2 linked regions of the Styela clava genome follow. The protein of the gene in region 1 interacts with the protein of each later gene in a pairwise test. Links are inferred from orthologs where the notes say so. Each region holds a gene or a part of one and is shown in the gene's direction. Other genes may lie near its edges.

Evidence for each region.
Region 2: the proteins of prefoldin subunit 3-like (region 1) and prefoldin subunit 4-like interact in binary tests that used the Homo sapiens proteins (3 or more experiments, as listed by UniProt). The link is inferred for Styela clava from reciprocal best matches to the Homo sapiens genes VBP1 and PFDN4.

The regions. Positions count from the first base shown.
Region 1 is NC_135259.1:21,594,899-21,603,630, reverse strand, and holds the start of prefoldin subunit 3-like, read left to right. Parts: upstream 1-5,038; 5' UTR 5,039-5,171; coding exon 5,172-5,225; intron 5,226-7,549; coding exon 7,550-7,597; intron 7,598-8,079; coding exon 8,080-8,223; intron 8,224-8,732. UniProt on the Homo sapiens protein: Binds specifically to cytosolic chaperonin (c-CPN) and transfers target proteins to it. Binds to nascent polypeptide chain and promotes folding in an environment in which there are many competing pathways for nonnative proteins.
Region 2 is NC_135255.1:7,782,019-7,788,510, reverse strand, and holds prefoldin subunit 4-like, read left to right. Parts: upstream 1-4,665; 5' UTR 4,666-4,702; coding exon 4,703-5,101; 3' UTR 5,102-5,646; downstream 5,647-6,492. Other genes in the region: uncharacterized protein C9orf85 homolog, read left to right, coding at 5,684-6,040. UniProt on the Homo sapiens protein: Binds specifically to cytosolic chaperonin (c-CPN) and transfers target proteins to it. Binds to nascent polypeptide chain and promotes folding in an environment in which there are many competing pathways for nonnative proteins.

The DNA.
Region 1 (8,732 bases):
AGTATATGGGCACGAAAGCCAAAACAAAGTAGTACGAGTATGCAATCTGTCACAGTAGACTACCTGTGCGGCAATCTTCACGACTAAGGCAAACGCGGAACCGACACAAGGTGCGCAATTTCAGATGACGTCATCGCACAAAATAAAACGAATTCCATAGAGCCCAAAAAAATTTTGAATCAAATAAAAGTAATAAATAGCCTTCAAGCCAAAAATAAAATCTTTAACCACTGAAAAGTTCAAAGCAATTGTCCAGTAATTACCGAGAAGAGCGGTAAGTTATGGAACGTGAATATCCAAAATAAGATCAAAGCTAACAAATATTTTTTTATTTAATCAACTTCCCGCCCCTAAAAAATTGTCTACGTTCACCTTGTGTGGCGGGCACCACCGTTTGAGAACTATTACTGTAACCCCATGCTTAAATATAACTAAATTTATCTATGCCGTGTTTAGAGATATATATTAGCTTTAAAAGCAAACACTTCTATCTGTATATAATAAAAATGCATTTTCTGTTTTCATGTTATGTTAGATTAACCAGCATATCTATATGTATTCATTTCATCAAATATTTTTTGAACTAGGAAAATTTTTCCCTCATATAGTTCACTTATGGAATATTTCTCCCCGACAAATCCAACCCTAACCTATATTAAAAGACTTTCAAATTAATTTGCGGTGCTCCCGAAGTATGTGAACCAAAATGGCGGACACCGGAATGTAGTATGTGTACCAGGTTAGAGCTAGGTCATAATTCCAGGTACAAATACTATGAGAGTCACTTGGCTAGTCCCCGAACTCGTAATAGAACTAAAATATAGAAAATTAGAATAAAAGTATGTTCTAACCCTAACTTGGTACACATACTACGTTCCGTTGTCCGCCATCTTGGTTCACATAATTCAGGAGTTGCTAATAATTTTCTGAATAATGTCACTGGTTTTAGAAATTTCTGGGAGAAATTGTCCGGACATCGATTTTTTTTTCATCTCGTTTACTTAGCAAAATTCGTCGATGAAAACCATTTTTTGTTTTAACTTTAATTTTATTATTATATATGCGAATAAAAATTATTCTATGATTTTGTGTATTTTATAGACCTTGTGACACAGTTTTCGTTTTAATATTTATGGTTAAATTTTTTCGAATTTTTAACATACCCATGTTCCTTACCGATATTTATGTATTAATATAAGAATCTTACTGACGTTTCATGGCTTGCTATCAATAATACTTTCACCACATACTCCATATCCTATGTTTATTATCAAATCATTTATTTTTTCTTCGCAAAATAGGCCTTTGATTTTCATTCAGCATTGATTATTCTGTACAGTATTTTTCATTCATAAAAGAGTTGTGTGACTCTGTAAGACACAATTTTAAGACTTGCTAAACTAAAATTATTTATCAATGACGAAGCACTTTTATGATCGAATCAATCCGACCCGAATATTGACCTACATTTTTATGAAAATTTTTCACGCTTTACTTTGTATACATTCGGTCAATTGTGATGCGCAAAAATTTATTATTGTTTTGAATTACTTATTTTTTCCGGTTTGGCCTACATCAGCGGTCAACCTGGCCCGTGGCAACCTTAAGGCGGCTATAATGCTAGGCGTAAAACCTGTTTTATATTTTCCTCAAAAAAAAAACCCCGGTTCATTAGTTTCATTACTTGGTAATGTTATTTCACAGAGTATTTTCACTTTGTTGAGCATGATTTGTTTGAAGTTAATAGGATTTGGAACCTACCAATTAAAATAATACTTTAAATGCCATTGGAATGATAAACAGGGGGACGGACCATGAGAGCTAAACCCCTCCAGAAGGAGAGCACGACCAATAAAAGGTTAGGGGCCACGGGCCCACACTCTTTGGATGAGGGGGTAGACATGGGGTTTGAACGTAAGATCTATAACCTACGACGCAAACACAGTTTTATTCTTCCGAGCCATCAGATTAGTCTAGTATTCAATGAATTAATTTCAATCACAAATTATCTAAACTGATCTTTTTTAAAGAAAAATCATGATATATGCCGCAAAAAATGGCAGGACATTCCTAACTTGAAGTCTAACCCAATTATAGCTATAATTATATTTTTTTTATTCTAGTTCGAAACCTCGATCGAGCGTGTCACCGACACCCTATCACTTATAGCCTATTTAGGCAAAGTATATTTCTGGTTGTAATGTCATTATGAGATTCTATTATCATATTTTTACTTTATTCTCTTAAGTTCTAAAAGTTTCTTGAATTAAATAGCAATTTTAAAATGGTCATGTTTAGCGTACGTGTTGTGTTATAAATTGACGAAAGAGGTTTATGACGGGTTGTCCCATGACTGGTATCCGGACGAAAGTTCGTAGCTCACCATGTGATTTAGTCGTCTTATCAGCTTTCCTCTTACGCGGGTTTGATATAAAAGTTGAATGCTTTTGAATTCACGATCAAGTACATTCTTCGTCTGCCGTAGGAGGTTGCGGCACAAATATATCATTGAACAAGAGCGCGATACTCCAAAACAAAGTAATTTTGGTGTCGTTTCTTTCATTTATGACTTCTGATCTATTACTTGAAGCCGATATCTATTTCACCCAGGTTGCGCTATGTGAGAAGATTTTCCGAACTTTGAGTGCCACGTGTCTAAGACTCATACGTTTTTACATTCAAATTTTTGTCACATTAACATAACTTTCATCAACTCCGTCAGTGACAGAGCGGGGCAAAGCTGAGTTTTGGTACAAGAAACTGGCGTTCGAATGATTCCGAGAACGTTCCGCTCAATAACAAGAGGCATTTAATTCCTAAGCAGATATATATTTTCGTTATTTAGCAGCAGGCCTTTCCTGTTTACTTTCTAATCCAGAGCGAAAGGGCAGTCTGCTGTTTAATGGAAATTTAAGACAAAACAAGACATACCTTAATCAAACAGCGAGTACATACAATAAATAAATAAAGCGATATGGATATACTAATTATACTAAAATCTAGAAGGCCATTGATAGCAATTGTAAAACATTTCAAATAATAGACGAACATGCTTGTAATTAGATCCATTGCATAATGTAAAAAGCTATACGTTGCAATATATTATTACGTTGTTATTATTTAAATTCCTGGGGACGCGTAATTCGTTTAAATTCTCTCATAGGCTCCACAGCTTGCGAATTGCACAGATTGAATGTAATTAGTTATGGGAATGACAAATTAACCTTATAATATTTGTTGTTATTGAATATTCCATTCGTCATTCGAAGATTCGTCCAGCCCTACTCTGGACATATCGACAATTCCTACAAGCTAGCTAGCTACTCGACAACGTTTCAAACGAAAATTTGAGAGTGAGTTGAATTAAGTTTGAATCGAAGAACGTCACTAACTTCCGTGTTAGCAAGCATCTTCTGACATCTACGTCAGCGAATCTCAGCATGCAAAGTAACACTGAGTACTGACTGACAGTACTGACACTTGGTAATTACAGATCGAATTACTTTTGCCGAAGTTACGTTTTGCACAAATCAACTTACATACGACTCCAACACCTGATTGCTACTGTCTAATCTCGCAGAGGCGAGTTTTCGGGCGATAATGGTAATTTATATGCCGGCCTTTGATATTAATCAATGAATAATTGCCCTGCGGGATTCGCTGGTCCGAATCCCACCGGGGTGATCATGATCACTCGTACCACACAAAAAACGCGTTTTGTACAAACAGCATGTAAAATGAAGTGAAAATGACGCTTCCGGGTAAAGGTTGATAATGTTCGAGTGCGCGAGGGTTTCTGGACTCTTTGTCTTTACAGTGTGGTTCGGTAACGGCTTCCAACCAAACCCATACATCTAGCTAGGATAGGAAAGGATTTTACATATTTGACCCCGGGGAGAGGGAAGCCCTACCACGGCCACTCGTCCGGTTACCAATCAATGTCGGGTATGGGATTAGTTTGCCAGTTATTTTCTGTTTTCAGACACAAGGACTTGTTGGCCGAGCCGAACTAACTAAAACGATAGACTGTAAAGACATCAGCTTTTACATCATACGGTCGGACGGCCTCCTTTAGGTTTTCGAATCCTCGCCCGGTGTTCCGTCATTCTAGGCACTGTGGCGGAGTTAAAAATGATTTATCTAATCAATACACGAGTAAATATAAACTCACCCATAGAAGTAAGATCCTGACCTGATGAAAAAATGAAACGTATGTTGCCGGTAGCCTACTTGAATAAACAGCTTGCGTCGCAGGCAGTGTTGTATCCGATTAAACATTCAAACCTCTAACGACATTGTAAATGAACTAGAGAATTGTTACCCGAATTTTTTCATCATTTCTAGCCTGAATAATGGCTATCACAAACATCCAGCTTACAGCGTGGCTTTCACAACAGATGCTTCTGGCTCCTTTGGTTATTTCCGAAATAATGGCCAATAAGCAATTGGTTGACGGTGATGTAACAATTGATTTTTCTCCAACCTTTTTTCACGCGGACAGAAGAAAAGATTGGCACAGTTCCGCGGTTTTCTAACCTTTTTGTTAGTTTTTAGTTGTGTTTGCTAAATTCAAGTATATATGTATTCAGACTGTCTCCCGAGGAGTTTTACATTAGTTGCAATATCAGTTTAGTCAGTCAAGATCAGCTATCTCTTAATATATTTCATTTTGAACAGGTCCATGGCGCAAAATGTAACAGCTCATAGGACAAACACGCAGGACGGAAATTTAAGAAAGTTGTCAAATCTCTAAATGAAGTTCGGAAAATGAGACATAAAGATACTACATAGACCATTTCATCTTGTGAAATAGAATGTAGGTGAAAACAACTCACTCGTCAACTGGACTTTAAACTAGGTACCTGAACTATAGCTTTAGGCAGATACAAAAATGTTTCTCTAATAAATCCTAAATGATTTTTTTAAGAAATAGTATTTTTTTATCATTCGAAACGATTTTTTATGGCATTCGCTGAAATGACTATTTTTGGTCGCGAAACGCATGACTGGGTCAACGATTCGTCGTTATAGCGACTTCACAAGTCCCGACCATTCCTTTTGGTAGTTTCGGTCAGAAATTGTCTTCATTTTGGGCTGTTTTGCTATTATTGGATTTGTCGAAAACTAGGAAACGAACTTGAACATTGGAAGTTTTCAAAGGCTAGTTAAATATGGCGACTGAAACTAAGAAAGCTCACCTAGGGATTCCGGAGGCAGAGTTTGTGGTAAGTCATAAGTTTGCCTGTCTCCAGGTCTCAGTGCAGCAGTGTCTGTCCGGCGCGGCGGTGTGGCTCAACGGGCTACGCGTTAGGAATACGCTCGCCACCGCACCTCTAATTACTCTGCGTGGGTTCGCAGGTTCGAATCCCATGCAGGGATGGTTATGTGCGAGAGGATTGCTGGACTCCTCGCCGTCGTTGGGTGGTTCACATAACCGCTGGTCGGTTACGGCTTCCTCCACCACCAAGTCCATGCTTCCGAAAACAAACAATACAGTAAAAACTAATCCCATACCCGACTTGGAATGGTAACCGGACGAGAGGCCGTGGTTCGCCATATGGATAAGCCGTCTTATCGGCTTTCCTCTCCCCCGGGATAAATATGTAAATCCTATCCTATCCTTGCCGTCGTTGGGTGGTTCACGTAACCGCTGGTCGGTTACGGCTTCCTCCACCACCAAGTCCATGCTTCCGAAAACAAACAATACAGTAAAACTAATCCCATACCCGACTTGGAATGGTAATCGGACGAGAGGCCGTGGTTCGCCATATAGATAAGCCGTCTTATCGGCTTTCCTCTCTCCCGGGATAAATATGTAAATCCTATCCTAACATAATAATCAGACGAGAATATCGGTCAGAGACCAAAGACATATCGATCGAAACTGCGGATTCGATTCATGACCTTATAGTGACATCGAGTGTCCCCTCACTAATTAATTAATAAGTCGCTAATTATACGACATAATTCATCCAAAATCTATAGACTTTTGGTCTGAGGTAGGATGAACGCACATGCAAAATTTGGAGCTGATTCAACCACACCTTCGTGAGATATCGCGTGCATCTAACAGACAGACAGACAAATACCTTAACATACCTTAACATCAACATACTTACCGATCTAAAGGTCGATAAGTCATAACGTGATCCATTAACGTTAAAAAAATATTGATCTGGTTCTGCGGTTCTCAATTCATACAGTTTACAGACTGCTGGACTAGTAACGTTTTGAAACAAATTTTGCCAACTTAGAGACTGGTAGACCTTCAAACTAAATTACAAAAGTTGTAAACACAAAACAAATTCTTAAATTGTCTCTTGTCCCATTACTGCATTACCAGTTCATTCTGCCCAGACTGGATTCCATGGCAGATGCACGCCCGAGGGCGCTAGCGCTCCACAAAAATGCACGCGAGCGAATTCAATTTTGCACGCCGAAAATTTGCAATTGCTCATCAATGTAAATCGGTTGAAATAGTTTTTAAATCAATAATCTAGTAATATAAAGATGCCAAAAAATTATAACTTTACAATTGTCGACTAATACTTGCTTGCAAGATTTGGCCTGATCGAAAAATGCGAAGCAAAAATCACCATATCGTGTTGAATGATAGGAATCCCGTGAGAAAAATCGCCTCCTCACCGACGCTGGCCAGTTATGGCTCTGATTCAGCGTATTTTTAATACAATAATTTTACACGGATGTACTGAACAGTACCGGTATCTAAAGTCGCTCAAACACTCTCAAAATTAGTGACAAAATATAGAAATGATGTTTTGGGGGTCAAAGGTCAAACGTCCATTTTTGCTATGATCCAACTTATTTTTACGCGGATGTATTGAGAGGTATCTTAGTTCGAAATCAGTTTAGCGGGCGCAGTTGTTTTGCACGCCGTGAGCTATAATTGCACGCCAGAAATTCTTATTTGCACGCGGGAATTTCTGATTGCACGCCCGATTTCTCGTTCGAAAAGGCCATGAAATCCAGACTGGCATTCTGCCAGTTGCCGGTATTAGTTTCAGATGCATGGGGTGGCTGGTGGAAGAAGCCATACCTGACCAGTCTGCCAGTAGTTATGTGAACTGCCCATATGATGGCAAGGAATCAAGACATCCTGTTTATCTTGCGTTAAGTTAGCTTATTGCCCAGGCTGAAAAATTGACTCAGCTCGACCGTGTGGGCATCATGCTAAGTGTTAAAAATACGCTCGTCACAGCAGCTCTAATTACCCTGTGGTAATAATTCTGTGCGAGAGAATTGCTGGACTCCTCACTCCGTGGCAGCATGGGGGGTTCACGTAATCGCTGGCTGGTTGGCTGGTCCTGCCTTCCTCCACCATCAAGTCCATCTGAAAACAAATAACTGACTAACTAACCCCATACCCGACATGGACTGGTAATCTCGCCAAAGGCTGTGGTTCGCCAAATGATTGAGCCGTCTTTTTAACTTTCTTCTCTTCTGGGACAAATATATTAATCCTATCACCTGACCATTTTCAGATTTTACATCCATGACCTTTATTTAAACATTGCTCTTTTGTTTTTAGGAAGATGTAGACAAATTCATGGCAGAAGAGCCTGATTCCTCAGCACAGGTAACAGTAAGCTATGGTTGTATGGTTGATTGAACTGACACCTATCTTACTACCACTCTCTCCGCATTTATGTTAGTGGATTCATTCACTGATTGCGCACGATAGCAGATACTGTCTGACTGTAGCAAGAACTCTATGAACTCGGCTCTCGTGTAGTTTCGTACCCATAGTACTTCTATTGGGTGTATTATAACCGTTTCTGATTTCCTTGTTTATTCCCGTAACAATTACAAATCAGCCATAAGTTAACAATGACATAACAATTGGAATTTATGTCGCCACTCAGACACTTCTTTCGCTCAGACAGATATTCAAACGTGGTTGTAAACATTGCCTTTTTTTGGTTTTGCGTGTAAGTAAAATGATAATCCCATTAATTTCCATCATGCGAACATAACAGAGATATGTCACTGTGCTATGACCTCCCCTCCACTTCAAAGGTATTACAGCACGCTCAATTATCCATTTCTTGATTATTTCAGGGGGCTTTGAAAAAACTTGAGGAACGTTACCAGAAATACAAGATGATGGAGATGTCGTTGAATCATAAGAAAGAGAAATTGAAGAATCAGATTCCTGAGATCAAAACAACTTTAGATATTGTGAAGCATTTGAATGATATTAAAGTGAGATCTTCATTTTGGACTTTCCTGTTATTTCCCCAAAATTAATTTTTATTGTAAGTTAGAATAAGATTTAAATATATTTATTTTTTGGGAGAGAAAAGACGATAAGAAGGCTAAATCATATGGCGACCTATGATCTCTCGTCCGGGTACCATTTCATGACAGGTATGGGTTTAGTTAGGTAGTTATTTGTTTTCGGAGGCATGGACTTGATGATGAAGGAAGCTGTAACCGACCAGCGGGCACGTTGATCACCCTTAGAAGTATCGTCACATTGGATTCTTACCTGCGAACCCATGTAGGGTAATCAGCAATTTTAGCATGATGTGGCCCCCCGCTGAGTTGGGGTGATGGCCAGTGTTTCCCAATGAGTGGGTCGCGAAGGACAAACACTGAAATACAGAAAACTACTGGAAGGCTTTTTAATGCATCCTTGCCTAATCCGTTTTGAAGTTATTTGTTTTCGGATGTTGGACTTGATGAATAAGCAAGCCGAAAATAACAAGCGC
Region 2 (6,492 bases), on another chromosome or scaffold:
AGGGGTGGTGACTCCTCTACGACCCATGGGCCGGGGCCACGGCCCATCTAATTGGGCCACATGGGCCGTGGCCCATCAAGCTATGGGTCGCGGCCCCGTCAGGAAAAATTCAATTATCTTACCAAAATTTTCAATTTTTACAAAATTGTCAATATTCGAACCAAAAAATAAACTCCTGTAGTATGTGTACCAGGTTAGGGTTAGGGCAAAATTTTGTTCAGATTTTTTACATTATAGTTCTATTATGAGTTTGGGGACTGTCTGTGTTAGCCAAGTGAATAGTTTCTTTACACAACTTGATGGGCCGCGGCCCATAGCCTGATGGGCCGAGGCCCAATTTGATGGGCCGTGGCCCCGGCCCATGGGCCGAAGAGGAGTCACCACTTCCACTCACATTGTTATAGCATTATTGAAACATGCATGCTTACTCCCTGTTTCTGATGAAGTATGGTGCAGTTGTGAGAAACTATGCCAGCATGTAGACATGACAGCATAGTATAAAATGATAAATATTAAAGTGAATAGTAATGGCAGAATAGGCCAATAATGATAATAGGCACTGCAAGTTGAACATCTCTGATTTAGAATGCTTGTCTACTACCCACCCATGTTTTGAATTGTGATAAATGGGTAAGCTATATCAGCGATTCCCAACCTTTCTACCTTGGCGGACCGGTAAAATTAAATAAAATATACTCGCGGACCGGCAAAAATTGAAATTTGTGGAACACAAAATAATAACATATATTTGTGTGATGTCGGGCAATGCTTTTTATAAAAAAAAGATACATTTAAAAACATTTCACTTGAGGAAAAACTATCAAATAATGTGCCGGCCAAAAATTGAAATGGGTGAAACTCAAATAATTAACCCCAGTGATAATTTTGCTACTGTGTCGTTTCCAATACAGGATTGCAAACGAGGCACCAAAAAAAAATTTGCAACACGTAGCTATGCAGCGGATCACAGTCAATTTATTTGCTTCGTTTTAATTAAAGCTAGAAGTGACTGGTTGAAAATTCGGACAACTGTTTGAATGCTCGATTACTCAGCGATGGGTATTCGTTATCAAGAGAGCTCAAGAATGAATTGTGACAATGATTTTATAAATCTGGACTGTAAAGTAGAGTTTTCATTGGGTTCATCATATCAATCCCTCTGCAGTTGATTGACGCCCCAAACAAAATGAATTTATATTACAATGATAGTCGTTGCTAACTTGGCCCCAGGCTTAAAATCATGCTGTGCATCACGCGGAAAATATCTCAGCGGCCCCCGGTTTTATTACGTGTCTTGTGACCACCTGCAGGGCCGCAACAAGTTCATATCTCGCTGAGTGTCATGGTAAAACTCTGAAATATTATACTGTTCTTGACAGTTTTCTGGTTTAAATAAAGAAATATTCATAACCTTTTATTTTGGCGGTAATATTAATCAAGAAAAGCATGCAGAGCGGAAAAAGCACGCATGCTGATTTCCAGGTTCCTGAATCTTTGGAGATTTGACGAAGCGCTTTCGCGATGAATCGGAACCGAAAAGTGTGATCACTCGGCGCCAAGACGTCGGCGGGCCATCCCGCACGTATCAAACATGAATATGACGGCGGAAGAAAAATTGCGTAATAAACCAACGTAACTTCGTCGTTTCGGCTTCGGTAAAGCGAATGAGACGGTAGAAAAACAACAAATTGAAATTTCCGCCGACCGGTAAAAATGCTTCGCGTACCGGCACCGGTCCCCGGACCGGCGGTTGGGAACCACTGAGCTATATTAACAATCTGAATATTTTGGTTTTTCCAATAACGAAGTAGACTAGATTCTTACATATTAGGGATACCGGTATCGGTACCGTACTTCTCTGAGAGCAGGGGTGTGTAACCTGCGAGCCAAATGCTGCCCACAAGAAAAGCTGATGCGGCCCACAGAGAAGTGCGAATTTTGAATAGTGTGCGGCCTGTGAAATGAGTTTTAAGTTAGTTTGATCCGGTATGTATGAGTAATTAATTCCTTTGCGTTGCAAAGTCTGTATCTGAGCTTGTGTGAAGCAAATAACACATGCAGACATGTCACAAGATCAATAACCAAAACTTTGGTGTCTGCAACTACTAGGAAGCCCATGTTTCACCCAGTTATTTGTATCTGGCCCTCCTATATTAAAGGTTGAGCAGCGCACCCCTACTCTAGAGCCTTATTGGAAAAGAAGTTTAAAACACCTCAAAGAAAAAATGAGAACAATTATATTAACCTTGCCCTTATAGTGATAATTTACACAAAGATTCAATATTTGAGATAATATTAGTAACTCAATGCTGTGTTATCATATTTTTTTTGAATATGGTCACACATGACAGCATGCTGGCATGAGCAATCTGCAAAGTGAATATCTTTGAAATCGGTATCATTTTTGATTGCTTTCATGACTATGAAAACCTAATAATTGTCCTTCTCAGATACAACTTAGTTGTTACTTGTTAGTGTGTGTTTTGAGTAGGTTTTGTTTCAATCTCAGCTAGCACAATTTTATTAGATGAATGATTGACATTGAAAATGTACAAAATTAATAATCACCGTCCACTAGTCAAAGATGAAATGCTTAGTAGGTCTACTATTTTTATTATAGGAACATGAACTAGTTGTGATACGGTGTGATCCTGAAAAAATGAACACATGAGTGTTTTAATTACTTTAATGAGTTTTAAAAAAATATATTTAATTTTGTTTCAGCTCCGATTTTTGTTTGTGTATGATTTTACCATAAAAGTTTCAGAATATAGTGTCATCACTTTGTACTAAAGTTTCGTTCTCTCTATAATATGTTTGAAGTAATCTCCTTGGCGTTTGATTTGAGCCAGAAGAGCATCCATTGTGCAAAATTGTCAATCATTCACTTGGTTTCCTGTTGAAGCGCACTTTCTACTTTTTTCAGTAGCAATGATAATGTTTACTCGGGCACAGCACCTCCGAAGGAAGTTTTCAAGAGACCATTACTCTCAGTAAAGGGCGCGGTGAAGGTAACCATTTTCCAACATGGCCTAATTGCTCCCTGATATTAGAGCTAAAAATGAAAGAGATCAAATGGTGAATACAGAATGTTAGATGGTCGTGCTAATACATGGATGATGGGTAGATGGATTGATGGTAGTCAACCCCCCACACATCAAATCACTGGCTGGGAGAGCGATTTCAAAAAAATATGATCAGCAGTGATGTCGGGTGGGCATCTCATTCATTGGCCTTCAACCTACGGATTTTTACTTTAAGAGTATTTGAAAGACAATGTATATCAGAACAATTATTGGTTAACTTAAGATTGCAATCGAAGCCAAAATTAGGGAAGAGGAGTGTGTAAGAGTGATTGACAATGTTGGCAACATATGCAAATATGTTTTCAATGTCGAGGGGGTCATTCAGATCACATTCCAGAGAGAACATACCTTTTGTGCATAATGCCCTAGATTTCTGAAACTTTTGTGTACAATGATACGCAAATGGAAGTTCCGAGTGTAAACAAAATTAAATAGTTCACTTCATTTTTATAAAAGTAATTAAGAAATTTATGGGTTCTGTTTTTTGTGTCACTCTGTATTTTATTATACTCATAATATGGATCAAAGAATATGTAGCTGTTATTGTTTGAATGTCCCTAATGGAAATGTCACTCTATATCGAAATATTTTGGTATCAAACTGCGAAGTTGGTACATTTTATCAAAGCAAGTAAACATTAATTTTTATTACTGACCTCATAAATGCCTACTACGTAATATCAATATGTATCATCAATATGTATCGGTAGCCATTGGCCAATTTAGTCACTAGTCTGATATCATGTTTTCTATTATTATCTGTAAGTTTATTTATGAGCTCAAGTTAAATTATAGTCTAGAAGTCATAGTCTCCTTCAGACAAAACAAAATATAAGTACAAAGCAAATATCAATCTACGATGAATATGATGTCGTTTTAATTCAAATGCTGGAACATGTTTTCACACAGATGGCTTGAGATGTCTTATTACATCCATTTACGTTCTATTGTACCCAATTGTTTACCTTTAGATCGTTGTTTGTTCAGAACAGATTAGAATCCATTTGTTTGATGTGATGACAAAGCCTTATTAGATTTCCGAGTTTTGTTCGTACAAACATGAGTCACTATAAAATTTTATTTAAAATCACGAAATCTAAAATGGCCCGTATTTGTTCAATTACTTATGTAATGCTTTGTGAAATCTTACAGGATGCCATATTTTCGTGTTAGTGTTTGAATATTGACAATGTGGTCACTTTACCTGAAGTGAAATTAAATCAAGTGAATTTCAGCAAACATGTCGGCATATTTCGTAATCCATAATAAAATTTATATGTTGTTCCATGTTTCAATTTCATTGTCCATTGACACACTAACTTATATGATATGCAGCACATATAAGTTGAGTTGTGTGATCTTTAGATTTTTTAGGTAGAAAATTTAGTTACTGTATTTAGGATTCATGCATTCATGATAAAAATAGTTATTACGTAAAACGTGTTACAATTGCTTAATTAATATTAATAATACTTGATATTTATAACATCTATAGTTTTATACCTTATAATGTGTAATGCTTTTAACTTTTAAGGAAAACACTGATTTTATTTTTTAATCCCATAATTTTATCTCTTTAGATATTTATATGTGAGGTAGATAAATTTAATATCCGAAATGGCTAAAGATCGTGGTGAAGCTGATGCAAAAGTAACATATGAAGACCAGAAAAAAATCAATCTATTTGCTAGGAAAAATGCACGATTCGTTGATCTCAAAGAAGAAATTGAAGCCAAGAAAAAAGAGCTGCAGAATCTTGAAGATGCATCGGATGACTTGATGCTTTTAGATGAAGATGAAGCAGGGCCTGTGCCTTATTTAATTGGGGAAGTGTTTGTTAATCATTCAATGGATAAAACACAAGAACTTATCGATAATGCAAAAGAAAATATTCAAGCTGAAATCAAGAAACTTGAAACAACTAGTTCAGAAATCAAATCGGTTATGGATGATCTAAAAGTAAAACTTTATGCAAAATTTGGAGATCAAATTAATTTAGAGCCTGATGATGAATAAGTTAATAGTAAATTAACAGTAATAGAATATAACATGCATGCTAGTAGTATATTTATTGTAAGGACTTCTGTTGTGCAGGGAAAGCTTGACAATGAGAAATTATCAAATGATTGGAATAAGTAATCAATTCTATGAAGTTTTGTCGTATTTCTGGAATATTAGGTGTTTTAAATTAATTATTTTCGCCTATTTAATGTTGCTGCTGAATATTAACTACCGGTATGTTTTCAATGATGCACAGGACAGGACTTATAATTTATAGTACACTATTCCATTATTAAGTGTATAATTCATTACTTTGTTATCAGTGTCTCAGTGACTTTCTGAAGTATTTTTAAACAAATAATTCAGGCAGATTAAAATGTTCAATTTATCTGGTGTATCGACTGTAGTAATGCATGAAGACTTCTTCATCAATGTATATCTAAAGCATTATTTTCAAGTTTTTCTGGAATTTTGTTACTTGATCATGCTTGAATATTGGCCATTATGTTTCCATTATGGGAATTTCTCTACTCATGCATTACAATTGTACACATTTTTAGGTCTAAGTAGTTATAGTATTCAGTAGAACCTTCAGGAATGAGTTGTCAAAAGGGAAACACACAAAGATCAAGACCACAAAAACATCAGAACCATACTGCATGGAAATCAAACAATACTAATCAGGTTTTGAAGGGAAGTCGAAATTTTACAAATAATGTTTGCACTAAATGTAAAGAACTCATTGAATGGAAATTGAAATACAATAAATACAAACCTCTTTCAAAACCAAAGAAATGCACGAAATGTGAAGGAAAAAATATTAAAGTTGCTTACCATATATTATGTGAAAATTGCGCAATGTCATTGAAACTTTGCTCTAAGTGTGGGACAGTGAAAGAAAGTGATGTTTCTGAGGAAGGTGATGCTGGAACACAGGTTGCTGATTCTTTATAATAATAAGAGAATGCTTGAATTCTAGTTCCCTTGCTATATAGATGACACTCTTTATTGTGTGTTCATTTAATGCAGAATGTATCATCAAGTAGATATTTAGGGATCAAGAATGAAGACCCATGTAGTTGAGGGGTAATGTTGATCAGTATAACTGCTTGTATATCTTATCACATGATGATTTTAATGACAATCCGCTGAACTCCGATGAATCGCAATTCTAACATTATTAATGTTTTGGTTTTTTGGTGATATCCTCATATATAACCTATCATTTGATGTGACTTGTGTTTTCCCACTAGTTAGGCTTGGTCAGTAATGGTATAACTGATAATACAATAATTAGGTAAAAATGTGTATATTTTGTAAATGTTTATGTTCATGTTTCCATTCATGAAAATCAATAAAAACAGGCATTATATTTTGTTTACTATTGCATCGCTCTATAAATGCAC